Linked DNA regions of Schizosaccharomyces pombe. The gene in region 1 interacts genetically with each later gene. Each region holds a gene or a part of one and is shown on either strand. Other genes may lie near its edges. The genes, in order: SPOM_SPCC622.15C, ngl1, omh6 and qcr8.

Evidence for each region.
Region 2: mutations in SPOM_SPCC622.15C (region 1) and ngl1 together harm fitness less than expected from each alone (positive genetic interaction), as found in Schizosaccharomyces pombe (one large-scale study listed by BioGRID).
Region 3: mutations in SPOM_SPCC622.15C (region 1) and omh6 together harm fitness more than expected from each alone (negative genetic interaction), as found in Schizosaccharomyces pombe (one large-scale study listed by BioGRID).
Region 4: mutations in SPOM_SPCC622.15C (region 1) and qcr8 together harm fitness less than expected from each alone (positive genetic interaction), as found in Schizosaccharomyces pombe (one large-scale study listed by BioGRID).

What each region holds. Positions count from the first base shown.
Region 1 is NC_003421.2:1,425,924-1,434,039, forward strand, and holds SPOM_SPCC622.15C (uncharacterized protein), read right to left. Parts: upstream 4,927-8,116; 5' UTR 4,857-4,926; coding exon 3,183-4,856; 3' UTR 2,820-3,182; downstream 1-2,819. Other genes in the region: SPOM_SPCC622.14 (GTPase-activating protein), read left to right, coding at 1,175-1,387, 1,709-1,786, 1,865-2,293, 2,354-2,599; Jmjc domain-containing protein Epe1, read right to left, coding at 5,776-8,116.
Region 2 is NC_003423.3:1,123,465-1,130,928, forward strand, and holds ngl1 (peptide N-glycanase), read left to right. Parts: upstream 1-3,007; 5' UTR 3,008-3,163; coding exon 3,164-3,490; intron 3,491-3,565; coding exon 3,566-3,742; intron 3,743-3,788; coding exon 3,789-3,948; intron 3,949-3,993; coding exon 3,994-4,032; intron 4,033-4,077; coding exon 4,078-4,376; 3' UTR 4,377-4,504; downstream 4,505-7,464. Other genes in the region: GTPase-binding protein Rid1, read left to right, coding at 1-68, 137-669, 719-821; ribosomal lysine methyltransferase Set10, read right to left, coding at 980-2,623; mRNA processing protein Cft2, read right to left, coding at 4,505-6,525, 6,589-6,961; SPOM_SPBC1709.16C (aromatic ring-opening dioxygenase), read right to left, coding at 7,432-7,464.
Region 3 is NC_003424.3:3,390,095-3,398,471, forward strand, and holds omh6 (alpha-1,2-mannosyltransferase Omh6), read right to left. Parts: upstream 4,151-8,377; 5' UTR 3,856-4,150; coding exon 3,389-3,855; exon of another isoform or gene 3,318-3,388; coding exon 3,031-3,317; intron 3,013-3,030; exon of another isoform or gene 2,935-3,012; coding exon 2,792-2,934; 3' UTR 2,597-2,791; coding exon of another isoform or gene 1,815-2,596; 3' UTR 1,656-1,814; downstream 1-1,655. Other genes in the region: U3 snoRNP-associated protein Utp7, read right to left, coding at 1-1,296; SPOM_SPAC959.11 (uncharacterized protein), read right to left, coding at 1,815-2,180; tRNA-splicing endonuclease subunit Sen15, read left to right, coding at 2,165-2,596; pdi4 (protein disulfide isomerase), read right to left, coding at 5,591-7,233, 7,289-7,544; SPOM_SPAC959.06C (uncharacterized protein), read right to left, coding at 7,930-8,377. UniProt on the Schizosaccharomyces pombe protein: Probable mannosyltransferase involved in O-glycosylation of cell wall and secreted proteins.
Region 4 is NC_003424.3:4,761,975-4,768,733, forward strand, and holds qcr8 (ubiquinol-cytochrome-c reductase complex subunit 7), read left to right. Parts: upstream 1-5,081; 5' UTR 5,082-5,135; coding exon 5,136-5,167; intron 5,168-5,356; coding exon 5,357-5,374; intron 5,375-5,419; coding exon 5,420-5,633; intron 5,634-5,736; coding exon 5,737-5,751; 3' UTR 5,752-5,932; downstream 5,933-6,759. Other genes in the region: splicing-associated factor Saf3, read left to right, coding at 1-900; cox24 (mitochondrial 37S ribosomal protein mS38 ), read left to right, coding at 1,105-1,261, 1,304-1,674; ypa2 (serine/threonine-protein phosphatase 2A activator 2), read left to right, coding at 2,475-3,533; prohibitin Phb1, read right to left, coding at 3,992-4,840; exonuclease Rex3, read right to left, coding at 5,933-6,759.

The DNA.
Region 1 (8,116 bases):
GAAATGTATATGATATTACAGTATTCTCTAATAAATAATTCAATATTATTCAAATGATTTGAATATTTAATGTCGTGCTAAATTATAGCAAGTGTTTTGACTAGATGCACAGCCAATTCCCAGTCGGTTTTCGTGAGAAACATTGAAAATATTTAGCAAAATGAGTTGCAATGATTTGACTTTGTTCTTAAAAACTTGGAAAGATATATTGCAAAAAGCTGCAAGTTTTAGGGTTACATTCAAGTTCTTACTGATGACCATTACTTTGATCTCAACTAAAATTTTAAATTAAAGAGAGAATTTTTGAAGCTATGCAATTACAATAATAATAACTTCGTAGCCTTTCAGCCTTTTAGCGTATCTGTTTACATTGAATTAAAAACTCGATAGTATTATTTTATATTTTTTAATAAACATTTTAACGTGTGTGTCGAAAGACATATATATAGTATAAATAATTTGTAGCTCAAATTACTTTGCTATGCAGACTAAGACTGGTTTAATGTGTGCAATGGAAGTAGTGGATGTATTCACTCAAATTTATAAGGGTATAACCTTTTTACTAGTCTAGTTTTGTAGTTTCAAGCTTCTAGTCCTCTATAGTCCTTAAAAAAGTCGTTAAGTTCATAAAGACGATACAACTTAAGAGGTAGCCAACTCATAAGAGATTTTCTGCTACATACCTTTAACAAGCGAGGAACACAGTAATTTCTGAATTTCTATTTGTAGTCAAAAATCACTGAATTATCAGTTTGTTTCAAAAACGAGAGGATTGTTTAAACTAATTTGCATTTTCTTAAACCAAACTTATTGTAACTTGAATAATCTCTTTAATCTATTTATTTTGAAGGTCAATGAACTCTTAGACAGATATGAAAATTGCTCAAAATAATACCGTAAGCTTTCCAAGAAACTAGATGCTGGTATTTTAAACAGTATGGATCAAAAACAAGAAAAAGTTGAAACTCATAAATGCATTCAACTGCACGACATATTTATTTCCTTCATGTTTTGATTTTATATACTTGGAATACGTTTCACCAGATCTTTAACGTTTTCTTACGCACTTCCATAAAATCTCACACCATGGTGAGACATGAAAATAACGAAATTTCAAAGTCACTTAGAACAAACTACAATTAATGAGTTGGTTGTTTAAATAATCTAATAAAAAATGTCGTATAAATTAGACCAACTCACTCGTCTTCCTGAAAACAAGAAATGTTTTGATTGTGATGCTCCAAATCCACAATGGGCATCTTGTAATTTGGGAATCTTCATTTGTTTGGATTGCAGTGGACAGCATCGTGGTTTGGGAGTCGAAAAGAGCTTTGTCCGCAGTATTACCATGGACAATTGGAGTGAACGTCAAGTGAAGATGATGGAGGTAAGCATCAGGATTGATACGGGCTATTGGAGTTTGTTGGTTATTTTACCAAAAAAAAAACATATATATATAATAATTCATTTGGCTGAGAGGGTAGCGCTATTGATCTGCGAGTTTGCTTGCCGCTATTTCGAATTTTTTCCAAGTCATTTAGTGCCTTTTTTTGACAAGAATAATGTTTAATGTTAAAAACAAGTACATGACGCGCAATTGATTATCACCTGAAGTTATAAAATGCAAGCTCACTATAATTTCATCAATGACTTGAAACAACATATATAGCCCACATTTGTTGCATGCTCCTGACTAACTTCTATACAGGTTGGTGGAAATTCTAATGCTAAAACATTCTTGTCTACAGACCCGATGTTTTCTGCTGCCGGAAGTATTCGTGAAAAAGTATGATCTTTGAACCTTCTATATTTTTTCCAGTTTACCTTATTTTGATTTTATTCACATTGACTAACACATTTTAAGTACAATACCGACATTGCTGAGGACCTACGACAAAAAATTCGTGCCGAAGTAGATGGTGTCGAATGGGTCAAAGTTGATCGTCCTAAGAGCGTTTCCTCTCATGCTTCTGTAACTTCATCTTCAACTGTTCCAACTATTCCATCAGTTTCAAAAGAAGCAAATGATAAATATTTTGCAAAGCTTGGTTCCATTAATTCCCAACGCCCTGATGATTTACCCCCTTCACAAGGAGGTCGCTATCAAGGGTTTGGAAGCTCTAACTCTGTTAATCCCAATTCTTCTGCTAGAAATAACGGTGGCTCTTTTTTGGACCAATTATCATCTAATCCTGTTTCTGCACTTAGTCATGGTTGGAACATGTTCTCCAGATCTGTTTCCCAACAGATTCAAGACGTAAATAAGTCCTATATTCAGCCAGGGATTACAAAGGTACAAACATTTTATTGTATCCAAAAAATAAAGTTTCTGTTGTACTGACTCTGTTTTTAGGTTCAAGATCCCGAAACAAGGAAGGATTACATGAATGCCATTAATAATTTCTCTAGTAACGTTCAGGAAGGTGCTAAGCAATCATTTACACAACTTAAATCCTTTTTGGATGAAAATGTATATTCCGAAAACCCCCAAAACACCCGCGGTACTTATGATGCGGAAATCGACTCTCCTTATTCAGCTCTCGCTGCCTCTCCTCCACCTGAAGACTATTCGAAAAAGAATTTCGATAAGCACGATTGACTTTTTTATTATTAAACTCGTAAGCAGTTTGATATGTTTCATTGCTGTTAGGAGTGCCTCGTCTATCAAGCATTCGTCAGCTAAAACATAAACGAAGAACGCTACCGATAAAAAAAATATTGCTACTTCATTAGAATTATCTGACATTTGAAGCTTCTTCAAGTATAATACATGGGGAACTGAAAAAAAAAGTTTGTATATATTGAAGACGGAGTCTTCTTGTTTATTTCTGTTACAAAAGTTTCATCGTTTTAGGCTTATAGTTCAAAACAATGAAAAAAATGATAATAACATATTTTATTTTCATTAGCATAAGTTGAATGCCGGCTAAATTTTAAGAAGATAACCGGATCATGTGCTTTCTTGAATAAAACCAATGACTTTTTTCTTTTTTAGTCGACGATGCCTAATCGGTATGTAGAGTGGATTTTAAAAGAAAACAGGAAAGACGAAGATATGAGGATATAGGCATTGCCGGTCATTTTCCAAAACAAAAATGCTGGTCATAACATAATTAAATCAAAATGCTTAAAAGCTCAATGATAAAAATCATTCTAACAAAAGACAATAAGTCATTGACCCATCAAATATGGTCATAAGGCGCACTGCCTCCAGTGTCTAAGTTAGACAACGGCTGGCTAGTAGCATTGGCTGATTCGTTACTAACTGGTACGTAATACTGATTTGGGTCATAGTAATAAACGAAACCGAAGGGGGGAGTTGAGACCTGACTAGCAGGTGAATAAGATCGTAAAGTATCGGCAGCAGGATTGGACATTACATTCATATCACTGCCAGAAAATGGAGGAGGCATATAAGGATAGACCGCGGGAACGGTGGAATCATAATTTTGAGGAAACGACCAGTAAGTCGGCATAACAGAGTAGGATTGATATGCAATCGGACTATTGGCAGTAGGTAAAGGGGTTGTGTACATGGTTCCCGGTGCTGCAGGTGCATTACCAGCGGGAACATTGGTCATGGATGGCATTTCACCGGTAGTCATATTCGCAGAAATATAAGCTTGCTGAGAATCATCTCTTGCACGTACATTAGAGGGATATATGGAAGTAGGGTACGTAGCGGAATCAGCGCTAGGATGCATATCCACAACAGGAGCGTTAGAAGATCCCGGTGTGGCCGAAGGGGACTTTGAAGTTGATGGAAATTCCTCTTGAAATGAGGGTGAAGGATACATTTTGTCATTTGTAATAGGAAAATCGTAAGGGACAAATCCAGGAGGAGCAGAATGAGTTGGTACAGTGGCTGGAAGAAAAGCCATATGTGGATGGGAAGAGACGTTAGGGGAAAAAGGAATAGGCGGAGCTGCAGAAGGTAAAGGGGAGAAAGGTAAGGGATACATTCCCATAGGAGGAACATTCATTTTATGTTTGGGTGTAACCAGTGCTGGTTGGGATCCAGGTATACTGACGCGAAGAACTTTGTTCTGATGGAGACGGGGATTATGCACGACATGGACAATTTTCTTTTTAGGTTGAAAATTGATGGCTTTCATAGAAGAGTTTCCAAACTTTACACGGATATCGAGGATCCTTGACGATTTACGATACCCCGAATTTTTTCCCTCTTTCCCTTGGGAATTAGGAAAAGAGGTGTTATTAAGAGGCTCCTCAAAATACTGCGTATTAGGAGTATAACCACCTCGTTTGTAGTTCTGATATCCATAAGCCATACCAGCTTCCCTTCTGGAAGGCATGGATGAGGGAACAGATAAATACTGCGGATCCGCTTCCAAAGGTTTATACATTGAGAAGGGATAGATATTGCCGGGAGCATTATTTAAACCAAAATATGGCATGGAGTCAATTCCCCCGGTAGCGTTTATAAAATATGTAGAATTTTGTATAGGAGGATAAAAGTTTTTTCGGTTATTGTTATAATCATCTCTCTTGGGTTTTCTTCGATATCCTTGAGAATTTTTGTAATACGTCCTGTTGTTACCGTAATGGGTTTCTCGTCGGCTTACACCAAATCCATTACTTACAGGTAGCTCATCAAAGTTCTCAGTCTCCAAACCAATTTCCTCGGCGGTGACTTTCATATTTCCTTCTTTTCGCGATTTAATATCTGTGGACGCGTCATCGTTCGATGGAACTTCAGGATTTTGATTTTCCTCTTGAACAATTCTTTCGACCGCCTCCTTCTCTCTTTCAGCGCCCAATCGTTCAAATTCCGCCATTTCTACCTCAATTTTCTCCATTTTCTTATTTAAAATTGAAGTTTCATCTTCATTCATTATTTTAAGTCAATTCAAAGCAGAAATATTCAATTCCGCTTGAATTCCAATATCCGTCTACTGTATTGTTAAGGCCGGGTACATTGCTCGCGTATGGCAATGAATACATAGTGCATGCTTTAGCTTGCGGACCGTAAAATGTAAAATAACATTACGCGTTCTAACGCATTGATAAGATTACTTAGCAGGTTGCAATGCGGAAATCTTAAGATAATAGAAATCTAGAATATTACCATTGTTTCTAGTAGTATTAACAATTAAAATAGGAAAATAAATTAATTAAATAATATTCAAAGATGAAACGACCGATTAGATTAATAGAAACGTGGCTTGTAGTTAGATCGCCGGATTATTTATTTATATGAGTTCCAAAAAAAAAAACAGAAAAAGAGTATTTATAGAATCATTATATCGGGTAGTATATGTACATATTTGAGCACAATTCAACAATATTAGCACATTATAAAAAAGTAAGGCTGGTAAATTGGGATTTGGATGGAAAACCCTGAAGCGTCGTTGCATCAGCTGAGATGGATAAAGTAGACGAGACGACGCCAATAGGAGACATTCATATTAAAAAGTGTGTTGTAGTATCCGGCTTTGATACAATCCGTTCAGGTTGAGTGTCCCTGCGCCGCTTCATGGGGATGTCCACGCTTTCAATGACTCCATTGTGTGTTATGTAGTCCATAAATCATTTTAGGACGATCGTAGTTTAAAAGCAAACAACGAGTCAAAGTGGATTGATGCTCTTAATCGTTTTATAAATAAAAACCCAATTAATAGAAAAAAAAAGAGTCTTAATTATTTGATGAAACCTTCATGATATACTCATAAAATGTGAACTACTCAAGAATCATAAGCACGTGGGGATAAATATTCAATGGTAGCCGAAGGAAATAAAAAGTGCCGAGGTACTTTAACTAGCACCTCTGGACCGAAGCCTGTGCCCCCATTTTTCCCTAACAGGAGAGTGATCTTCAAAATCATAAATGTTATTTTCATTTTTCATGATTCGACGTTTTTTGATGCCGACATTTTCAGCTTTTGTTAAGTTGACCTCTTTATTATTATTCCTCCCATTCGAAATTCCACTCTTAGAGCTTGCAAAGTGCTGATCTATATATTCTAAATCATTTTTTCTTCGATACGCTTTCATTTCTTCATGTTGTATGTTATATTTTAAAGGTACCTTTGTAGTATCTGGTTTCTCATTTTCCATAGAGAGTCGTTTGTAAGAAAACGTATGAAGCAGGCTATATTCGGCTGCCTTTTTTTCTTTCTCACCAACAGAAAATTCTAGGGAATTTTGAGGAACGACTTTTTGAATCTGTTGTTTGAGATTTGATGAAGAGGGGGACAACAAGTCGTCAAGTTGAAAACTGTCGTCATTGCTTGAGGGCGAAAGTATCAAGTTTGAAAATTCTGGTAAAGAGTCTACCCTAGTGTCTACCCTAGTGTCTAACGCCGTGGATGGAGTCATGTCGGTTTGCGATATATCAACCTCTCTTTCATTCACTGCATTCAGCGGTTGAAGTTCGAGTTCATGTATTGAAGCTTCAGCATCAGAATTCGCCGTTTCCAATAAATTAAAGTCGTTATAGCAAATAGAATCACTTGGTCTAAAACCTTGATCGCCCCAAGTAGTAAATAATGTGGTGTCCGTATTTTCGCAATTGGCTTCACCTCCAAAGTTAAACGTTTCTTTACTCAACGCAATATTCTCAAAATTGGAGTGATTCAAAAAGAAGCTTGGTGTCCAATTGATAGCAAATGAAAACAACGCCTGAAAGATCAACTGTTCGAGAACGAATGACTTGATTTTAGGACGAACGACAATGTCCTCACGAAACGTAGTTGCATGTAAACTTGACAGAAAATTACACCTAGTATTTTCTCGCTTCTTGAAAGCCTTAATTATCGAGCGCCAGCTGGGTGCCTTTTTAGTACTCTTAATCCTCTTTTTTACTAACTGAAAAGAGCAATTATTCTTTCCTGTTTGTATTTGAGATTCTTGACATTTCTTAATGATATTATGATTAGTTGAAATCACAACGCCAATGAAATTAGACTGATGCTGATAAGAGTTATTTGCAGGTTTAGGCCCCGAATCTATAAGCTTCGTTTGTAGGTGTGAAAAACAATTGCAAGATGGGTGTTTAGCGCTACGTCTATGATGGTAAGTAATCCAGGCGCCAAACTTTTGTACAAAGTCAACACAAATCTCATCCAAATCCGGAGGTACCATCGTATATGCTGAGTTATAGCCATTATTTTTTGATATTTTTACGGGTTCATTATAAATGTCTATAATTATATCGCAATCTCGTAAAATCTGCGCACGAATATAAAGATAATTAAGCAATTCTTCAAATCCATCCAATTCTTGTTCTGTAAACGCATTGATATCAAACAATCTACCAGTTTCATATTCAGCAATTATATCATCAATTCCATCACGACTCGAATTATCTGGGAACGCAAGGTAAAAATGTATAGCTGTGTACCACATTATGCTCTCGAAATATGGATACTGATACTCTTTTTCAATTCCCAATTGTAGCTCAAGATTGTAGATTGACAACTGGGGATAGATATGAAGGAACGTTAAGAAATTACCAGCAATAGAAATTGTATCACAAGGTGTCACAACGGCATAAATCCATCCTGAAGGAACCAAAATTGTTTGCTGCGAATGAACTTCGACGCAGTAGCATACATCAACCATATTGGGTAGAAACTTTTTGTCGCTGTCATTTGAAGATGTTAGCCAGGCTGTATAAGCTTCCCAATTCTTAGATGTTCCTGGAATAAGGTAAAATATCTTACATCCGTCTAGAATATTGTAGTAAGCTGAGGATCCACCAAATTCAATATGGAATTCAGTATACGAGTTTTCCGCTGACATTAAGCAGTAAGTATCAACATGGGGATACTCACCCAACGCAAAGGAACCAGGAGGCCAGACAGTATTAACCAAATCGAGATCACGAACGATGTTAGGCTTCCGGACGTAATAGGCAAGTTTTGTTGTAGAAACCTCTAAGCTCAAGACGTCGTATATTCGACCACGTTTGCTGGGCTCGAGGCTCATGTACTTTACCCAACTTTCCATGTCCATTTTATTTGGAATTTGTTTTTGTGTCACAACATCCACAAGGGCGAGCGGACAATCATAACCAATTAAAGTAGCGATTTTACTCAGATTTAGTTGCCGCGTATTTTGTGTATCAGACGAAGGAAATATTGTGGGTTCATTA
Region 2 (7,464 bases), on another chromosome or scaffold:
GAGAGGAACTGCACGATTCTATACTGGAGCAACTTTTACTTTGCGTTAAAGCCATGTGCACTGTTCAGGTATGCATGTGATATACATTTAGACCTATGTCTTCATTGCCTTTGACAATTGCTAACGTTTTTCCTAGCGCGGATTGGAATGTTTATCTCAATCCACTTATAATGTCGAGCGATTGATTTCCCTTTTGCTTTCAAAGAAACAGCCATGTGATTTTGTCGTAAGGGAAGTACTCGTTCAAATAGTTCACTCCTTTTACAAAGCTCATCTCGACAAAGAAGAAGGTGCAATGCAAGTTTTTTCCTTGTTTTCTATTAAAGACGATAAGGATGAAGAGGTTGAATTCTTAAAAAACGTTCGAGTTGATCGACCTTTTCGCCGTTGGATTATCGAACTTGAAGATGTTAGCCGTAATGTCTTCTGGGTGTGGAACCACGATTCTAATGTCATTGATTTGGAGAAACAATATAATCAAGTGTACGAGGCTCCATTGGGGTTTATTGGTGGTATAGAAACCGAAGCCACCAGCTATGTTGCAGCTCACATCCATCTTATTAATGAATTACTCGAAGGCTTACCTTTAGAGAAACGTCAAAGAAAACGTTTGGAACTCCAGCTAAGTGGATTAGAAAGAATCATGGGGTTACGGTTTCGAAAGAGCAGGTAAGCAATTTTTTTCAATATTTATATAAGCAGGCACTTACAAATCTAGTCAAAAATTCCATAAGAAGCTACATGAAGCCCTTCGTGAATGGATAGTGGCTGCTAAAATTGATGATTGGCCATACAAACTTGTGCAAACTGGATCAACCTAACTTTACCCTAATTTTCTATGCACTACAATCATCCTATGTATATAAAAGACACTAAACACCTTAATCATTTATCAAAATACGTCTTGTCATCTACTTTACCTAACCCAATATTGGAATACTCATCGTACATTATATATTAATCGCTTAATTTTTATTTATCAATTATGGGCAATAATAAAGGTAAATCCAGAAAAGTCGAGACTTTCGTCATTTACCAATTGCAATGCCCAAGAAACATTTTCTTTATTAAAATGCTTGGATTCCCCAAATACGTTTGTAAATTGTTGAAAAAACATTTCATCCAAGATTTCAAAGACTTCAACACCTTCTGGATTAGCAACGGCTGGATACCCTTCCACAAGCATACTAATTGAGAAAGGTAATTTTTCAGAAATAGATAAACAATATACACAAATCAATATCATTAAAATATCCTGCTCATCTGTAGCGACCAATGCTTCAGCATCGGTTGAACCATAGAGACTCTCAATGGCATGCGAAAGTGGTGCAAACAAAGGATGTTGCAAGAGGAAAATAGATATCGAATTAAGGATGAGATATTGCAAAAGGTTTGGAAGAGGTTTGTAAGTTTTTTGGAGTGATTCTTCCATATAATTTTTGACATAAGTGATGGAGTCTTGAAGAATATTAATCTGACTATCGCGATAAATTTTGGCCCAAACCTGCCTTTCAGAGGTCGGAGATACTTGCGGATTTGATTTTAACAAAAGGTCAGCTCTAGAGTCGATGTACATAAGTAAAACTTCCAAGGACTTAATCTGGCCTCGTAAAGAAGGGACATAAGAAGCTAGATCACCCGTCAACAAATGCGCTGTCAATTTTCGAAGTTCAAGAGAAGAGGCAGTTACAACTGCTAAACATTGAAGAATCTTTTGAAAAATTTCCTTATCTGGGGACTTTGGCAAAAAAAATACTAAATTGCTCAACTGAAATTGGCAATCATTCTCAAGAATGGCAGCTTTTTGATCTTTATGCGGTAAATCTGGATGAATAGCTACTTTTAAAGTCACTGTATCAAATGGGTTATCAGGTAAGCAAAACCCATAGCCCATTAGTAACTCTTCGTTGCCCTTTGGACCGTAATTATTAAACAGCTGGTTGCCTTTTGCAACCAACTCTTGGGAAATTAATTGAACAGATTTTTCATCTTGAAAATCACTATTCCACAAAATTGGCTGCTTTGGTTTATGATTCAGACTGTCAATGAGAGGAAGAAGAATGGGAGTAGACTCTGAATCCTTATATATTAGATTGGATGAAAAACATCTAGATGAGAAAACAGTGGCAGACCATATATACAAATCGAAGGTAAATCTTTCTGTAGGAGATGGGTGCAAACTTAATGCTTCTTGATACTCATGCTTCCAGATATGCAAACGCTCCTGAGCAGCAGAGTACGCATTTGTGGATATCAAAAAGGCGTTATCATTTTCGTTAAAATAAAGAGGGGTGTTGAATGTTTTAGGTAGATACTCAATGTACCCGTACCACTTACTTTGTATACCCTTCAAGCTCTCCAATGCTAAAAATGTACAAAGTGTTATATGAGGATTGCAACTCTCAAAATTTGGATTCAATTTTTTTAATTCCTCTTTCGCCTTGTTATATGTTATTGCATACTCAAAAGGGCAGGATATAAGTAATTGATCAGGTGCTATATCGTTTTGTGCAACAGCAATATAACTACCAAAACAAGCGTTATCGTCTCGACTTTGGATAAATTCGACAGATTTATGAAGCTTGCAGCCATTTTGCAAGGCTTCGTGTAGTAATTTCTCCATTAAAGTAGCGTTCGTATAAAAGAAGTAAATTAGAAAAAAAAAAAAATTGTAAAATTCCAATAATCAAACCATCAAAACTGATTTTTGCTTTTTAAAAATGAAAACAGACAAAAGAAAAGTGGAAGATAAATTATACCATAAAATTAAAAAGTGGTAGCAGAGTGCCGCCTGGCTTCGCCTATTGCTCAAAGGTAAGGATTGAAATACCCTGAAACCGCATTTGGGTGTTTCTCCCACAGTTTTTAATGCGGATAACCGCCATTTGTATTGTTACAAAAAACTGTATCGATGCTAATTAGTTTAAAACGCTTGTAGTAATTTGCAATTGATAACAATTTGAAGTCTTTATACTCATAATTAGACTACAGGAAAGCGTTGTCTTTTAGAATTTAGCGTATATTGTGATTCGTGAATACATTACCCTCATTTTTTGTAAATCAATCCAGTTTTACAAATACCTTCTTTAATTTTTTCTTTTTTTTTCTTTTTTTTTGTTTACAATCGTTAGCTATTTTCTTGAAAATAGGACATTTGCTGAAAATGGATTTTCATGCGATTTCTCAACGTTTCATTGATATGATGAGAAGCAAGAATTCCCAGAACGCTTCTCAGCCTCCAGAGACATATCCCTTTTATCATGAAGTACGTCAAATGTCACAACACCCGTGGATGTATGAAGACCCAGAGTTGCAGGATTATGCTCTTAGCATTTTACCACTTGACAAACTATTTCAAGATGCTTCTGAATTAGAAAAAGAGGGAGATGGATCTTGGGGTTACCAAGATTATGTGATTCAAGCCTTGTTAAAGTGGTTCAAGCGAGAATTCTTTGTTTGGGTTAATCAACCACCTTGCGAAAAATGTGGAGTATGTTTTATGATTGACGGTGTAGTCAATTTTTTGTTCTTTATCCGTACGATATAGAATATTGACAATGTGTAGGGTGAAACTCATATGACAGGCAACGGTCCCCCCAATGAGGAAGAAAAATGGAATGGAGTCCGCAACGTAGAGCTTTATCAATGCAATGTATGCGGGCATAATCAGAGATTTCCCAGGTATAATCGCATTCGAGCATTGCTTGATTCAAGGAAGGGAAGATGTGGAGAGTGGGCCAACGTGAGTTAAAAATATTTATAAATATATAAAGCTAACATTTTCTTAGTGTTTCACTTTCCTATGCAGAGCACTTGGATCTAGAGCTAGGTGGATTTGGAATGCTGAGGACCATGTGTGGACGGAAGTCTATAGTAATAAACAGCAACGCTGGGTGCATGTCGATAGTGGTGAAGAATCATTCGATGAACCTTTGATATACGAACAAGGTAGAGTTCTAACTCCTTGAAAAACTTGATTTCTAACAGCATTAGGTTGGGGAAAGAAGATGTCATATTGTTTGGGTTTTGGGAGTACGGAAAAGGTTTTAATTTTATTTGTTACTAATGCAAAAATAGTCGATAGTGTTCGCGATGTATCGCATAGATATATTCGTCACCCTGAGAATGGTCTTCCTCGTGATCGATGCCCCGAATCTGTCCTACAACAGGCTTTGCATGAGATTAATATTGAGTTTCGGTCCCGACTAACTGATTCTGAACGTAAGGCTCTAGAGGAGGAAGACAAACGTGAAAAAGATGAACTTGATGGTTATATGCGTCCTGTTTCCCAGGCCACGCCCACTAACACTGACCTGCCAGCAAGACAAACGGGGAATGTTGAATGGAAAGAGAAAAGAGGGGAAGCAGGAAAATGATTGTTTCATAAAGCTTTACGTTCCGTTTCTATTACCAAACATTTATTAGTTATGTTGTACATGAATCCTTTCTAGTTACTAGCTTTTTTTTTATGTAATCCTAATTAAATTTTTTTTTCATACATTAGTTAAACGACAGCAAGTGCATCGTAAACCAACTTTCGAATTTCAAAAAAGCGGTTGCTCAAACTGCCCTCAACGGATATTTTACCACCACTGAGTTTTCTTACGGCAACAGCTCCCCCACATAATAAAACACCTTCTCCTTTCAATTCAGCAGAAATTCCTTGATCTAAAAGTGCTTTACGGAGATAGGCAAGCCGAATATTACCTACCAAAAGTGGAGCAGCCCTGGGCGCTCTTGCCAAGTCTGATCTTAAAGTCAAGGCGTTAAGAACAGGAAGTGTCTCTTTCTCTTCTTTTTTCTCTTCATTCCTTTCTTTATCACCGTCCTTTTTCTCAACTTCTTCCTTTTTATCTTCTTCTTCAGAAGGTTTAGAGATCTCAACCTTAGCCAGCATATGTGAAACTTCGCAATTGCCAACTTTAGTCCAAATTAAATTTTTAATAAGATCATCTGCTAATTTAAGACTGAATGCATTAACATCGATACTAACATTAATGATTTCACCATAGTTGGGTATGTAAACGTCCTTGGTAAAAGCACTGAGAGAGGCGCACGTTTTCTTCATATCTTCTTTCTCTTCAGTTGAAGCATGAATAAGGACAAGTCTTCTAGGATTTACCTGTGGTATAATAGTTTTCAAAGAACGTCCATCATGCAGACCCTCAATATCTATGAACTGAACTTGACATGAAACTCGGATAGTTTTTTCATCTGTTATAATTTTAGAAGGAACTTCATCCTCATCCTCTTCTTCCTTTTTTTGTTGTAGACCATCGTTTATTTCGGACCATTTTCTTTTTCCGTTAGAATTAGATAAAGCATTATCATCTGAATCATTTTCCAATTCCAATGTGTTAGCAGGTTCGTTAATCATAGAAAAGTCTTGATGTTTGATAATTTCTCCATATTCATCTATCCTCCTTCTCTTCTCAATGTATGGAAACATTTTATACTTGGTATGTAAAGCTTGGACAGCAGGATCTCTCAAGTTCAAATCAAAAGACTTTCCCATTAGGAAAGCAGAAGATCCAAGAGCCACATGGGGAACTTCTGTATTCAAATCTAAGTCGTCATCTTCTGAAGAAGATGATGATGAAAGGTCTTCATCTAATATGGTTCTGTTACGAAATTCCAAAGCGGTATCTTCCGCATCTTTATTTCTCTTGCTGAACTCAAGTTCTTGATACGATCGCAATTCTTCCCCCTCCAAAGGTTCTTTCGTTTTTATCTTGACAGCTTGTTCAGCATACAAACCGACTGGATGAGGAATATCACGTTTCTTTTTACTAGCACGTTCCCAATACCTGATGAATTGGTTTGCAAGTGAGTTTTGAGGGCATCTGGATCTTTGTGTAAACAGTATTAAGTCATTTGAATTTTCAGACATCAAATCTAACAAAATTCGCTGAGAGAATCCGCATTCCAAAGTCAACGCGGTAGCGAGGATCACTTTGGGTCCGGGTCCTATGTGAGAAATCTGAGAAAAATCTGTAATCGTATTTATATTTCGAAACTCTAATAAGTTTTCGTTGATCCCAAAATCACGAACTATATTATCACCCATCCATTCAATCATACTTTTAGCATAGTCAATAGTTTTTGTTGATGTAGGGGAAAGGAATAATATAGGAAATGGTAGAGGCGGTTGACTAGCAGACCAATGGTTATCTAGAATACAACACAATTCTAATACCCTAGAAGCGGCATCTACAGGTAATAAAACAGTACCGCCCTTCAACAAAGAAGACATAACAGACTCTATGAAAGCTTCGTCACGCTTTTTACGGGAAGGGATAGATACGAGTGAATTGTTAGCATCAGTAATTAAAGTATTTGGTCGATTGAGAGCTTCTAATATATGGCCATTCGAATATAAGGCAGCGCCGTTTAGATGTTTATCTTTAGAATGGTTCCAGTCAACAGCGTACAGAACGCTTTCTGATTCTTTTATAAGACTCCACAAAGTTCCTCCCAAGGTATGTCCAGCATTATAAGCAGTAATGGTTAGCCCACTACATTTTCCTAAATCATGAATTAGTATAATCAAAAGTTCAAAAGACTTTTTTCACAAGAACAATTGCTTACCTAAAAGTAATGTGGGTTGTTGATATCTAAGAGGAATGATGCTGTCAAAAACAGCATCTACATCAGCTTTGCTCATGTCTGAAATATAGTTGGATTTTATTGCATCCAACATAGTCATCCGACCCATATTAATTGTTGGTAAAGTAGCATATATATACGCATTTTTCCAGTCATATTTATAATAAGCATAAACCAATCCTCCTATATGTGCTAAATCCGAATGAGATAAAAGGATTAAATCTGGTTGTTCGGGTACTTCCGGATGTTTTAATGAATCATCGCTGCCAGGGTCTATATAGATATGAATTCCATCTAACTCAATATGAGATGTTCCACAATAGGAGTCTGTCTCTAAACATTGATAGTTGAGCATGGTTATTGCCCAAAGACAGGACTTTACAACTCGATGGTAGTAAACAGTGGGGGTTGGATGGCTATCAGAAAGAATATATCCAAGCGATACTATAATATGAAAACTTGTCAATCTTCTAAATTGACCAGTTTTAATGTCTTTATTATAACTAAATCTTTAGTTAATCTAAATCATTCAACGAGCATATTGGATAAATCGGCTTCGTAATTTTTATATATTAACAAAGACGGATGTTTATTAAATACGGTTTCTTGGTAACATCATTAATTAAAAATATACCATGTAAGGAGTTGAGTTATAAGTGACTGGTATAGATTATCAATTGGCGATTTATTCAAAATGCGCTAATTTTAGGAAATGGTTCATCAAATCGAAAATTGTCCTGAAAGCATTAAGTGAATTATCAAAATAATTTTTAGCTTTTAAATTATCACTCTGTAATAACAAATAACTGTAAATTAGACATTGATTCATTCATCGATTCCAAAAAAAGCAGAGACGGC
Region 3 (8,377 bases), on another chromosome or scaffold:
CGGTGCAGCTCTATCAACATTACCGATAAAATCAGCATTCAAAGAAATCATTTCTGGGCGAAGCTTCTCCAAAAGTTGGCGAACTTCAGTTTCTTGACGTTGTTTTCGAGAAGCAAAAGGATCGTTTTCATATGAATCATAATTGGGTTCACCAGATCCAGGAACAATGATGCTTTCGAATCCCTTTGCATGTCCGATACCTAAAATATCCTCATACGGACAATAATGAAGATCAACAACGGATGAAGAGGGAAGCAGATGATTCATGTATGGAAAATTTTGTTTAGTTCGTAAGGCATCTTTCCAAATCGTAGCATGTGGTCCCCATCCAACGGCTAGCAATCCCCGGTCACTGAGGGTTAAGCGCTGAGCAGGTGTAGGGGTGTAATAGGAGTGAAGCTCTTTGTAAGTTCGAAGGTCCCAAACTTTCAGTAAACTATCGGCACCAGCGGTAACCATATATCTGCCATCACGATTTACTGCCAAATCACGTACAGGCCCGCGATGAGTAAGCATTTTGACAAGAGGTGTAGTTGAAGATGGAGACCAGAGGGTAACCTGGCCATTTGCATGACCAACATGTTCAACAGCGTTATGGGGATTTTGATGTAATACATGGCTAGCACCCATTCCGGTACGGTGTTCTGCAACCAATTGTCCAGTAGAGACATCTTGGTATTTCAAATAGCCAGCATTGCCAATACTGGTCAATAGTAAGTGATATGGCAAAAAATCTAGAGCATTCACTTCGATATGCCGCTTCAAACAGTGAATTTCTGTTCCCATATTATCGTAAACGTAAACATACTTCTTTTGTGCAACAGCAAAATATTGATGGTTATGAAACCATTTAACATCTCGAACGGTCTCTCTTAAATGTAGCTCTGTGAGTAATTTACCAGTACGCCAGTCAAACGCGGAAATATGACCTTTTCTTCCACCTAATAAAATCATTCTTCCATCTCTTGTATAATCAAATGAGTAACCACCAAACTTATCCAAATCCAAGGAGAAAGACTTTGTAGCCGTCTCAAGTGCAACATTAGGAGCCAGTTGATCTTGACGAAACTTGTATGTCCTTTCAAGGCCCTCGGCTTCCAAAAGACCGGGATTATCTTCATGTAAGATTTCGGTTTTCGCCAAGGAAGACTCAACATTCTCAATTCTCTCCTCGATTTTCTGAATATTGCTTCGAAGCTTTTTATCCTTGATTTTCTTTGGATTCAGCTTGCGCCCTCTAGAATATTTTTTTGTAGAAGCATTAACATCCTCCAAATTCAACTTTTGAGCAGACATAATGCTAACTAAGTAAAGATATTAGTGAGGAAAAAAGATTTTTTTTTCTTTTTAGGCCTGATTATACAAAAAAAATGAAGCAGTTTTCTAATAAACAATTCTTTCCAAAATTTAGGTATCTCCCTTAGTCAAAAAGTTAGAAACCCTTCAATTTTTACACAAATGTATTATGTAAACGAAGTGATAGTTAAAAAATTCAAACACTACGTTCGACTTCGATTCTATGACCCAACAGTAGGTTTAGGTTGAGGGCAGGTGGAATGTAGTTCTAGGAATAGGATTTGTGCGTTCTTATTGTAAAAAATCAGAAACTACTACTAACACAATTAGATACAAACCACAATTATTTACAAATAATACAAGTATAATAAAATAAAATTTCATAAAAATTAAGTATGCAAAATAAAAACAAGAAAATTTTAAAAGTAAACCCGAAACCCAGTAAAAACATTATAAGTTCAGACAATGGCCAATGCCAAAACTGCGAAATGAACCATGAAACGAAAATAGCTCAGGAATTAATTCTCCTGCTTTTTGGTCATGGAAAGAAGCTGGATCGAATTGGATATATCGCTCATCTTCGAACCGCTATTATGAGCACTTCTTAGTACGCTCTGCGTAGTGTTGTAATCATCAATACTCTGTAAAAGGACGTTTTGTTGGTATTTGTTGTTTTTAGAGGAGTTTTTGTTTTGTTTTGAGGATTTCTTAACTCCTTTTGAAGTCTGTTTAGGCTTTTTTGACTGCTTGTTCCTTTTCTGTGCCATTTGGTTGAAGTTAAAAGTTTTATCACGGAGGCGATAATTCATTTTTTCAACAAAATTTTCCTTCTCAAAAGTAAAGATATATTTATTATAAACAAATACACATGCAACATAATACATTTCTCCCTAACGATGCTGTAGAAGAGCAAAAGCAAAATCCATACTATGGAATACTGAGAGCAGTGGAAACCGACTTAAGGCTCGGTCAACGTTGGTGTGAATTAAAGGTACATGTTCTTGATATTGACTTAAAAACAAAAAGGCCTTTACTCTCAGGGATTCCCGTAAATGGACAGCTCAAAGACAAATTGCAATATGTTCTGCCGCTTTACCTCCAAGAGACAATTTCGATCGAGTTTCTGTCCTCTGTTTTCGATTCTATGAAGAAACTGAGCCTTCCACTTGTAAAGGATGCTCGAGGTCTTTCTGGAGATGAGTTTTTCCTATACCTGGGAATCATGTGTTCTGACTCAACGATAGTATATTACAAGATCACCGATGGACTTATAAAACCAAGGCAAAATGATGAAGAATAAACACATGATATATACATATTTATTGATTAGGATTGAAAAACGGAAAGACAACGCTATAATTTTACCACTACCAGATTAATTTTTCACTTCAAGTGTCTCAACGTTTGTAAATGAAAATGCACATATTACAATAACTTTCATAAAACAAATTCGTATGAACAAAAATTTTCTGTAAAGCTCATTCATCAATTAATATCACAAACATGCACATCTTCCTGTGTATGGAATAGTTTCTGGGCAATAATGAACATCATCGTTTAAGAAAAATCCCACTGATTCCATATGATTAGCACGCGCTCTTAAAACACCAAATGCTGCTGAAAGGATATCAGACTCGGCTAAATAAATGTCAGCAAAAAGTACAACGTGAAGCATTTATATTAGAAACAGGTTAAATAAAGTCATTTCCAAAATTGAAGAAGCAATTTACTTACTCCAGCGATGATAATATGTTCCTCCTGAACCAAGCAAGTAATTAATTAGGTTGGTGTAGGTCTGATTATGCCGAATTTGCTTTAGAGATAAAATTTCATTAAAAGGCCAGTATTTACAATAGGTGTAGTTGTTACTATAAACCCAGATATTGCTGAAATCTCCTTGAGTGTTTAAAATTTTGTATTCTTCAATTGCCTCTTCCATAGCATATATACCAGAGTGTTTACGTTCACAGACGTGGTTTGTAAATACAATGTCGCTGTCTTTGAAAGTAGAAAATATATCTCTGAACAAAAATATTAGTTAGGTTTCCTGAAAAAGAAGAACGAAATAAACAAGTTTTACCGAGTTTCTTACTTTTTTTCTTCACAAACCAATTTGAGCCCGGGTTCTATTCTCCAAACATAATCGTATTCCAATTGAGGATGATATAATAAAGATCGAACTACCCAATCTTGAAAACTGTGAAACAAAGGAGAGTATACGTAAGATAGATTCTCTTGAGCAAGTGCATCTGCTCGTTGTTGATAAAGTCGATTGTTTTCAACTAGGGGTTTTACTTGAGAAAGATCCCAATGCACTAAGTAAGAGATAGTTAGAATAAATTGTAAATGATTGGTATAAGTTATTCCCTTCGTACCGTATTCACAATGACCAGACGCAATCGTGCTTGTCGTACTCATAAAGTATTCCGTAAACTCATCCATGCCGTAAAACGTCCAAGGATAATGAAACCTCTTATTAAATCTATCCTCTACGCTACGCATCGTGCGCAACACTTCCCCAAGTTCAGCATTACTAGAAAACAGAATTAGAAAGTACATCTCAAATGGCACCGTACGCGGTAAACATCAGAAAAGAAGCACTCAAATTGGAGCTTTGAGGTTCATTAAGAATCACATATACATTGTTGGGTTCATTTACAGAGAATCCATTCAACCAGGTAAATACAATTGGTAGTATGGAAAGTAAAAGTTCGTAAAACATAATGAAGCTTAAACACGAGCAGAACTTTCCCTGTTATGAGAAGTAACTAGTTCAACTAACGTATGACTCCAAAAGTAACGCATAGAAAGTGGATTTGAAGGAATTTAACTGAAATTGCCTAAGACAATGGTTAAGGGCAAATGTTAATACCCTGCTAGAGATTTGACCTTAGAAAAGAGAGCTCTTTGAGTATAAATATTTATTTTTAGCAAATCAATTTTTGTATACAATGTTTGATGGGTAGATCACTGAAAGAATCTGCTAACGAGCATAATCTTATAAATGACATTTGCATAAGCGTACTGATAGTCGCTATGTCGAGCTGTTATTACTGTTGGAATATTTAAGTTCTATCAAAGGAATTATAAAATTTGCATTCGTCTTTTATAATGGTTTTTAATGTCTATTAAACAATTCATTGTTGCTGATGAATGTAAACAAAAGCAATAAGTTTAAGTATAGGAAAGCTTCAGCTGTTCTAGAATACAAACTCAGTAAAATGTTATAAAATAATATTTCATAAACCCAAGTGGCATATGTATCTTAAGACATTTTCCCAATATCTGCAAACTAATTCACTACTTTCGATCAAATTATATACTGTGGTTGTTCATAATGCACAATCTTATTTTAACGAGCCTTTTTTTTTGCTTTCTGGAAACACCAAAATTCCTAGACTACTAAGGGTAAAACAGTCACTAGGGTTAGGGTTGTAATTTTCAACAAACTATATAAAGTCTCGTTTGCACTTCGTTATAACCTATCATGAATCTGAAGTTACATTGTTCAGATTCTTTCGAGAATCTTGCGTGTAACATGGTTGGCGTGTAGAGGTTGACAAGAGTACAGACAGGGCGGCGATTGTCCTTGCAGTTTCGACTGCAGGTTGAGAGTTGGCGTCTTGCCATGAAAATTGACTAAAGGATGCTGCGTAGCCTAGCCAACAGATTCTAAAACGATTGGAGTGATCCTGATCCTTCTCCTTTGGAGAGGAATTGGTTGATCCTCTGACAACTGTATATTCCTAAATCTTTCGCTACATGATCTCTGGATCCTTGCAGTTGGGTAAAACCATACAGTTGACATTTTTCATTTGGGTAGTTCTTCTTTTATGATAGTTTAATCATGTGTATGAATACGATTAATTATTTTATTACAATTTTACTTTGTCATTTAAAACTGAATTTTTTAAACTTCCAATTCGCTGTTAATGAACAAATAAAAATGGGCGTTGTGATGTTTTGATGAGAAACAGGCTGACCTGTCGATGTAGTTTTCGTTTGTACAGCTTGACCGTTTGAGGTAGGTTGCCAGTATGGTATTTTGTATACTTAAACTGAATTTTTAATGATAATATTCTCGTCATATTTTGAGGTACTTTGTTTTCGTGTATAAGTCCTTGTCAAATTAAATGGACTACAAAGTTTTTAACAATCAGTTTTGTGGGCTGTTTGTAGCAACATCACAAGTGTATTAGCAATAAATGATTTAGAAATGCTACCCTAAGAGAGTATATAAAAAAAACCTTTCGCTCCTTTTCATCGTTTACTAGGTCGTTGAATTGTCAACATTTCAGTCTGATTTGGCAATTACAAGCGAATGATAAAAACCAAAAACTGGTTGCTTGTTCAGCAGTTGTCGACGCCGACGGGAAAGCCTGCTAGCTGAAATAATTGTCAGGATGCTCAATATTAGTAAAGCAATGAGCAAATTAAAAACTATAAGTTTGTATCTATTCCTGTAATTGGGGCTACCGTTTGGACATAGGCCCGGTGCACGCAGTTTTTGAAGACGAGATGAGTTAGGGTGCTCTAATATAATCCTTAATGTGGAAAATAGAGAATCTTCTTCTAACGTAAGTGAGTTGCCGTTTCTGTCACTCACATAGATTACGCCTTTCGAGTGATCTATCACAAACACTGGTGGTGTGATAGAATCTACATAAACAGTATGGTCCAAATTTTCCACAATCCAATCCAACCATAAAGAAGAATCTAACCATAAAAATGAAACTGACTCAGTATAAGTAGGATGTGATATCTTCGAGTACTTAATTCGCTTCACTTTCCTCGCGAACCCTTTCTTTTTAGCTTCAGCTATCGCACTATATTTCTTAATTCTACTCCAAACTATATCATTTCTTTGTCGTTGCATTTGAAATCGAAACCATCTCTTTCCAAGCCGCAACAATTCTTCTTGACTTGAAAAAAACTGTTCAGAATCTGGCTGAAGTAAGGTCAAAACAGTAAGCTTTCGATTCAGCAGACTGTGGCATTTTGTCGGGGTTAGCTCTGTAATAAAAGGGGAGGAAACTATGTTAATCCACTCAGTAATTCGTTTATAATCTCGAAACTCACGGGGTGTAATTGCCTGATAAACTATTGGCATTCCATTGCGAACAGCAATAATGCTAGGCTGAGACTGTGCCCCATATTTATTCGCGAGCGCCTTCGAATTACAAATGTATAATGGAGCAACACCAGCAAGCTGTAATTTCAGACGTTCAATGATACTGAAATCTTCTGAAGTAGTTGCAAAATCGTAAAGCACCAGAAAGAAAACTGGGTGAGAGTTTTCGATTGATTCAATGTCCCCTTCTTCGATCTTTATTGCTTGGTAACTTGCCACTTGGTTTGAATAGGATAGCAGCTGTTGATACTTGAGAGGTCCATTATATTGTATGGAATCGAACCCCTGAAACACCCTGAAGGTAGGAAACTTTTTAATATGGAAATGATTACACATCTCCTTTTCTTCGTCGCAATTAACTTGCGCCATTTTTAATCGCTCGTCGGTATTACGAGTAATGCTTGACCAAACAGCTTCCCAATGAAAGCAATCTTCACAGTGCTTCAATGAAACAAACATAACGAATGCACGAGTTTTAGACATAATTTCATTTCCAAAAAGAAACCTTTTAAAGTTCAATGTCTCCAAAGGCCTCAAAATACTCGAGTGTTTCCACGATTGGTCTTCTTTCAGTTCAAAAGCAGGATCTGTGCTACTGGAATCACTATTATACTCACCATCGTCACTGAAACAATCTGTTTCATTTTCAGCTTGCTCCAAATCACAATTACCCAAATGGCTTTTTACAAATTGTCGCGCGGATTTTGTCGTAATTTGATTTTTTTCAAGAACGTGTCGCATCCACATACCATTTTTTAGAACTACTACCTTTGGATGATCATATATTTCCTGTTGAGCGCAAAATTCTATATTGTTAATAATTAGTAAAAACTTTAATTCTTATGATGTATCTATCCATACCAAGGTCTAAATCACAAAACACCTTTGCACGGCGTATGTCAGGAAACTCCATTGAAACTTCATTCCAAATAACAGAAAACTCTTCCTTATCATATTTGCTTTCAGTGAACTCTACAAACCAAAATGCAGTAGTATTCAAGATGGACGAAGCATTGTGCGAACTAACGATAATCTCCTGCTTAATTGAAAAAGCGTAACTAAAACTAATAATAAAGTAGTAGACTATGAAAGTGAAATGATAAAGGAAGAGCTTCATTTCCCTTTTTCGAGACAATGGTTGGGAGTTTCCAATGTTTACTAAATCATGCAGAGAATGTGTAGCATACAAATGAAAACGTAAACAAACATTTTCAAACAGAAGGGGGCTATTTTGACACAATCAATAATTCTTTTTAATAATTTATCTTTTTGCAAATTAGTCTTCGTGAATGTGATAATAAAGAACTTTTTCTCACATGAGGAAAAGCCGGCTAGATAAGAACAGTGAAATCCTTAGAAGCAAAAGAAAAAGGAATCTAAATGACGAACACGTTAATATATTTAAACAACTCCCCTTGAGTTATGGAAAAGGCTTTTCTCTAGAGCTGACTCGGTAATATTTTTTTTAGTAATTTACAATTGACATTCAAATTTATCAGATGTCACACATTGAGGGCAGAAGCTAACCATTTGTCCACAGTTTCTAAAAGAATCTTTCTTGAGGATGGTGAAAGCATGTGGGAGCAATCTGTAAGTTTTAAAGGAGTAGTTTCTGGGCAACGATTTTTTAGTTTTGCCAGCGTCGTTTCAAAGGTTCCCTCTCTAGTAAACTCATCATTATCAGGCCAAACAAACAATACTTTTGAATCAGTAGAAAAAGATTCAAAGCCTAGCCCCCAAGACCAACTTAAAATACTGCTTCCAAGTCCCAAATACGGTGCAAGAAAAAGATATGAGACATGAGAAATGCGCTTATCAATTGCTAGGGTTATAGATTTATGCATACTGATTCTTGCACCGTAAGAATATCCTCCCAACAAAAGATATTCCGGATGATTCAAACTAGTTATATACTTCACAAACAAGGTAAATATCATCGTATCATGTTTA
Region 4 (6,759 bases), on another chromosome or scaffold:
GTATTCGAGAAAGAAGGAATATCTGAAACCAAAACGTCTTCTAATTTCCAAAACATTAACCCAGTCCAAACAATTGATAACTCTGCTTCAGAATATGAGACTGACGCATCATCGGCAGAAGGGGGATCTAACTCTGCAGCATCTAGTTCTGAAGAAGAAGACTCTTCTGATTCGGAATATGAGATGGAGCTGAGAAGGCGGACACTTCTTCTTCCGCCAAAATTTACTAGTAAAGTCATCAAAAATCGGGCAAAAGCCAATGAAGAAGATACTGAGGTGCTTAAAAAAGTGACTTCACAAAAAATATTAGAAGAGACTATAAAACGGGAATTACTATTGAAAGAAACTAAAAACAATAATGAATTATTAAATGATATCGATGATACCGATGGAATTGATCCGCAAAGTGAATATGAATTATGGAAATTAAGGCATTTGCTTAGGAAAAAGAGAGACAAGGAAAAGTCACTGGAATTAGAAAGGGAAAAGATGGCAATTGAAGAAAGAAGATTAATGAATTCTGAGGAACGCGAAGCCCAAGATTTGAAGGACGCTGAAGCAAGTCGGAGAGGAAAGAAAAAGTCATCTATGCAGTTCTTACAAAAGTACTATCATAAGGGTGCATTCTATCAAAACGAAGATATTGTGAGTAAAAGAGATTATTCAGAAGCCACAGAAGGGGAAGTTCTTAATAAAGATTTATTACCCAAACCTATGCAAATTAGGGGAGATCTTTTTGCGAAGGCAGGCCAAACACGCTGGACGCATTTGGCAAATGAAGATACTACAAAAGAAGGATCTGCTTGGTATGATCCTAAAAACCCAATCTTGCAAAAAAATTTGCATCGTCTCGGTGGACTTCATTCTGACAGCCCACTCTCGAAGCGAAAACGTACCTAACATCTGTATATACATAAGGACAATTTTGTATTTCATTTAGCATTAATTTTATTTAACATCACATATATATTTAAATACAACATTCTTCTGAATTAATATCAAATGTGCACCACCCTTCCTCTTTGTAAGTGTTTAGCATAAGCATACCAATTCTTACCTTCCCGCAGTGCAAAGAGTACAACACATTTTTCGCCTTGGTCACCCATGTTACGAAGAGGTGCGCTTTCCACAATATTAAAAGGTTTAAACGGCCTTTCACTGCGTAGTCCCATACCGATTTGGCATGTTTCAGCTTCTCCCGAAGTTGGGTCGAAATATAACCTACCAACGGTTCCTACAACTTCACACGTTTCATATCGTCGTAAGTAAATTAAATACTTCTATTTCTAACTTCATTGCGTAGAAATCGCAAAAGCAAATTTCTTTGCTGGATATCGACCTTTGTCAGCTAATCAAATATGTGTGCCTAAAGTTGAGTCCAAAACACAAGTTTCGCAATCGCAGGATGAGGAAGATCAACCCCAGGAATATGTGTTATCTTTAGAGGATGGCTATTTGTATGCTCAATCATTCTCTGCATCTGGATCCGTAACTCAAACTCAACCCGCTCGTATATCTACTCAAGTATGGGAACAAATATGTGATAAGCTGATTTCTATTACACCTTTAGATTTGACCAGTGTCAAACGAAAAAGAAAATTGAAAATGAATAAACATAAGTTCAAAAAGCGCTTACGCCGACAACGAGCACTTAGGAAACGTCTAGGAAAATGAGATTATTAGAACTTATTTTTACTCGGGTTATATTTTTAGGTTGGTTGGATTGAGAGTTTAAGCTGTAAACAAGCATTTTCAAAATGGCTGCAAGCATTTATGAGTCTCTATTTTTAACTTGGATATCAGTACCTCTCTTTTCTTAAGAAACGTTTAATCATTTAATGTTTACTTCAGGCTTTTTTAACAAGGAATACATTTTCTCTCATGTATATTCTATCCTTTAATGTTCCGGTATGAGACAATTAGGTCGGTGCTTTTTTCTTGCGATAAAATCATTAAACAATCCGCGTTTATTTAACTATTTTCAAAAAGCGGAGCACTTATTTGTTTATGCCGGCTATCTCCTTCATATCAATTAGCTTCCCATGTCTAGTACTATTACAATACCTCCATCTTTGGCCCTTCCTTTTTATATTTTTAAATATTTGTCGATGGCTAGAATTAATGACATGTACACTTCATGTGAATCATAAATATGTTGTTGTATATCAAGCAATTAATAAACGCTTATTACACTGTATCTGTTTACACATAGAATAAAAGAACACATTGGTATGAAAAATAACTTTAGTAGTCGAAATTATTTCCTTAAAACAATTTTGAAAAAAAAAAAAAAAATTTCTACATTTCTTTCTTTAAAAAATGTTCTCACTGATTATAGCTAATTACAATAATGAAATGTAACGTACTGACGACTGACATAACAAATAACAACATAAGGAATATTGAAGAGCGTCCAACTGTATAATTTTTAAGGCTTTTGTTAATCTTGTCTTAACCGATCAAGTTATGCCAACATGCTTTCTAGAGAAGAGCAAAACCGGTGTTTCGTTCCTGTCCGACGAATTTTAGACAATGAAGACTTAAAATTATTTAAAGAAGGAGATGCTTATAAGTTAATTGATTCGTTTATTTGTGATCTTGACGAAGCTGTGAAAGACAAGCCTATTTCAGCTTCAATTCCGCAAAGCTCATCAATAGAGCATGTATTAAATATACTAGATCGAGTTGGAGAAATTAAACAGGAAAATCCTGCAATTGATAATATGGGGTCGAGGTTTGGCAATCCTGCATTTCAATCATTTTACGATCAGGTATACATTGAAACACCAAAGTTGCACCAAGTATTTGGAATTGAGCATAATGCGGCGATGGAGGCAGGTCGATATTTTTATGAAAGCTTTGGAAACAGAAAGCGAATAGATTATGGAAGTGGTCATGAACTTTACTTTATGTCATGGTTACTAATTTTAAAGCAACTAGGCATTTTTACTAAAAATGATTATCCAGCATTGGTCGTTCGAGTTTTTGTTAAGTATGTTGAATTGATGAGGTCTTTGCAAATTTTTTATACTCTCGAACCAGCAGGATCTCATGGTGTATGGGGATTAGATGATTTTCATTTCCTCCCTTTTTTGTTTGGTGCAGCTCAGTTGGTTAATCATAAATATTTGCGTCCCAAACATGTTAGAGATCCAGAAATTTTGGAGATGTGTCGCGCTGATTATATGTACTTAGGTTATGTTTACTTTTTAAATAAGTTGAAGCCTTCTGTTTCACTACGTTTCCATTCTCCAATGATTGACGATATTTCTGCCGTAAAGACTTGGTCTAAAGTCAACGAAGGCATGATAAAAATGTATAGAGCAGAAGTTTTGGGTAAACTTCCTATAATGCAGCACTATCTTTTTGGCCATTTAATCCCAGCTTCACCTGGGATGTCTCCTGCTCCCCAAGACGGTGATGATTCTGAGGTGACACATGTTCATTCTCATTATGCTGACTGTTGTGGCATCAAGATACCAAGTGCGATCTCTGCTGCCAAAAATAATGGAAGTAGGATTCCGTTTGATTAAAAATTCTCGAGGGAAAAAAGGCGTTTTTAACGAATCTTCACGAATTTATGCGATACCCATATTTGTCTGTTTACTTTAAAAGTAATATCTAAAGTCAATAAAATTACCAACAGTACAGCATATTTGTTTATTTCATTATGCTAAAAAAACTCTACATAAACAATCAACCCTAATTTTAGCAGCATTAATATAGCCATTTCATCAGCACAAAACCCAAAATAATTGTCGTTTTAAAAATAAGGTGACAAATCATAATTTTGAGTTCTGAAATAAAAAAATTTGGAAATATTTATTTTCGTTAAGAACCCAAATTTGTCAAAATCATAATGCGTGGAAAAGTACAACTTTTATATAACATCTCTTTAATTTTAAAGGGATAATAAGATAAAGCTGATATGTTTAGGGGAGCTCGAATAAACCTTATGAATTTGCTGCTAGAAGCAGATACATGGAATGAATTAAGGATTTACATTAAGAAGCAACCCAGAACCACTGGAACTTTGGGCATTAGAACCAGCTCCAAAGGGAAGATAAGTGACCTGTGCACCTTTATTAGCAAGTGCAGTAGCCACCTCTTTACTTGTCTCGAGACGACGAATTTGGATTAAAGCGCCACCGGCTTTATCAAGTGCTTTGGAAACAATATCAGCCGCTTCTGCTTCACCCTCAGCGCGAATAACATTAGCTTGTCGCTCTTGTTCGGATTGTTCTACTAAAAATCTAGCACGCTCGGCTTCTTGTTGAGCAATTTGTTTTCTCTCTACGGCTTTCGTAAATTCTTTTCCAAAAGTCATATGAGTAATGGATACATCTTCCAACCGAATTCCAAATTCGGTAGCTCGTTGAACTAGTTCTTGGCGAATTTTGGCAGAAACTACTTCTCTTTGAGTAATGAGCTCTGCTGCATCAAACTGAGCAACTACGGATTTTAAAATTTCGTTTCCAATAGAAGGTAAGACACGCTCATCATAATCTAAGCCTAAATTTTGGTAAATTTGAGGAAGCATTCCAACTTCGGGACGGTGTAATACACGCAATGTTAAAGAAACCATCTGTAAATCTTTACTACCCGTAGTAGTTGCGATATTTCGTGGACGTGTGCGTACATCATAAACAATTGCCTTTTGTAACCATGGAATCAAAAAGTGTGTGCCCTCCTGAACAACCTGTTTCTGCACACCCGACAGACGGTCAAACAAAACTGCTCTTTTTCCCCCCGGTACATCGTAAATCGAAGATTGTAATAGAGTAAATCCAATACCTATTGGTATTGCATAACGTGCAACTCTCTCCAGTACTACAGCCATCTCTTTAATAGTACGTTGAGCGCTGGACTAAAAGACCAAACTGAAAGGGAAGTCCGTTTGAGCAAGACTAAGTATGACTTAACTGCAACCTCTAGGAAAATCTATATTCATGATTAATAAATACATGATCTTATTATTTAGAATTTTAATAGTAAAACTAAATAAAAATCTTGAATAAAAAACCAAGAATTTGTAAACGTCTGAATTATTATTGGTCTAGCAGACCCGCACACTTACCCTTAACAAACATCTGACTTTGTAACGGCAATCATCAATATATTATTGTTTTAACAAAATGGGTGGTGCTGCTGGAGGAAAAACTTATTTGTAAGTGCAACTTAAAGCAGTTTCTGTTTATAATGGGTTATATGACTTTTCTTTGACGCTTATAGCGTGAGACGGTGGACACAATTGGTGTTTATTTCGTAAAGCCATTTTCGTCAGCGAAGTTATATACATTCAAATAGCTGCTGAGAATATCATTGAACGTTTTTATTTATACTAACACATGAATAGAGGATGGTGGGGCCATCTGTAAGTGCTATAACAATTTGATACATTTTTACTTACTTTAATAAGAGGTGGACCTAAACAAAAAGGAATCATAACATATTCCCTTTCCCCATTTCAACAGAGACCAATGGCCGGCTTCTTCAAAACTTCTACGCAAAATATGTTTCGTCGCGTCATGACTGAAGGTCTATACGTAGCAATTCCGTTTGGAATAGCTTACTATATTTACTGTTGGGGGAAGGAGCGTAATGAATTCCTCAATTCCAAACATGGAAGACACGTAAGTTAATGACTGAAGAATCGATAAGCAGCTATGGTTTGCAGCATTTTTCTATACTTCTAAATTGTGTCAATAATTGTCATTTTACTAATATGTGGTTTAGTTGGTGGAGGAATAATGATGAGAATGAAGTATTCATTTTGGTAGAAGGATTTACAAAATTCTTCCCTACCCTTTCCTTATTGGGTTTACAATTACTATCTCTCTCCTCTCATTATGCTTAGTATCAGAAATCTATATATCCAACAAAATTACTTTGTGATATGATCTATCTCTTGAATTTGAAAACATTATTACTCTTAGTTTTGACTTTCATTTGATTTTGTCTTATAAAAGACAAGTTGTAATGCTGAAACAGCGTCTTCTTCGCTATCGTGTGTAGAAGTTTGTATTGTTGTTCCCAGATATTTTTTAGTCAAATATTTTAAGGAATATCTAAACGGCGGGCCTCTGGCATGCGTAAATAGAAGAGCAGTATCTATGACACGTTTGTGAATAAGCCTCATCGCATTCAAATCGTTTTCTAAACCATGTCCTATTAAAATTGTATTTTTATTCATGCCAAGTTCCTTTATTTTAATATACATTTGATCCATGGTAATTCCTGATTCTAATTCTTTGGCATCATGTATCCCGCTAAATCGAGTATTGAGACTCAAAATTTTGCCTTTAGGCTTTATAAACACATCCATAATAATGCTTTCCTTTGCTACCACCGTCAAACGAGCCAATTCCATCCCGTTCGTAGTGTAGCATAGTTCACAATCTAACGCGCAATGACTTAATTGCTTGCTATTTGTACTGTCTGGTAAGTAGGAAAATGGATGAACGCTAGCAAGATACGGAAGATGTCGGTATTTGAACACATGGTTGTCTTCTATAATACAACCAGACGAATCGCCCTCTTTTACACCACAGCAAGTGTATGTACGAATCTTCTCCCCCCCTTGCTTTTCACGAAACAGTTTTCCCCAATGATATGTACATGGTCCTCGAGGATCCGCAAACCGTGTACCACATCGATCGCATTCACGAAGTTCATCTGGCGGGTTTACTGGTGCAACGTCTCCAATATTATATCCCCATAGAATCAATTCTTCTTCCGAATGAACAAGTGACTCAAGTT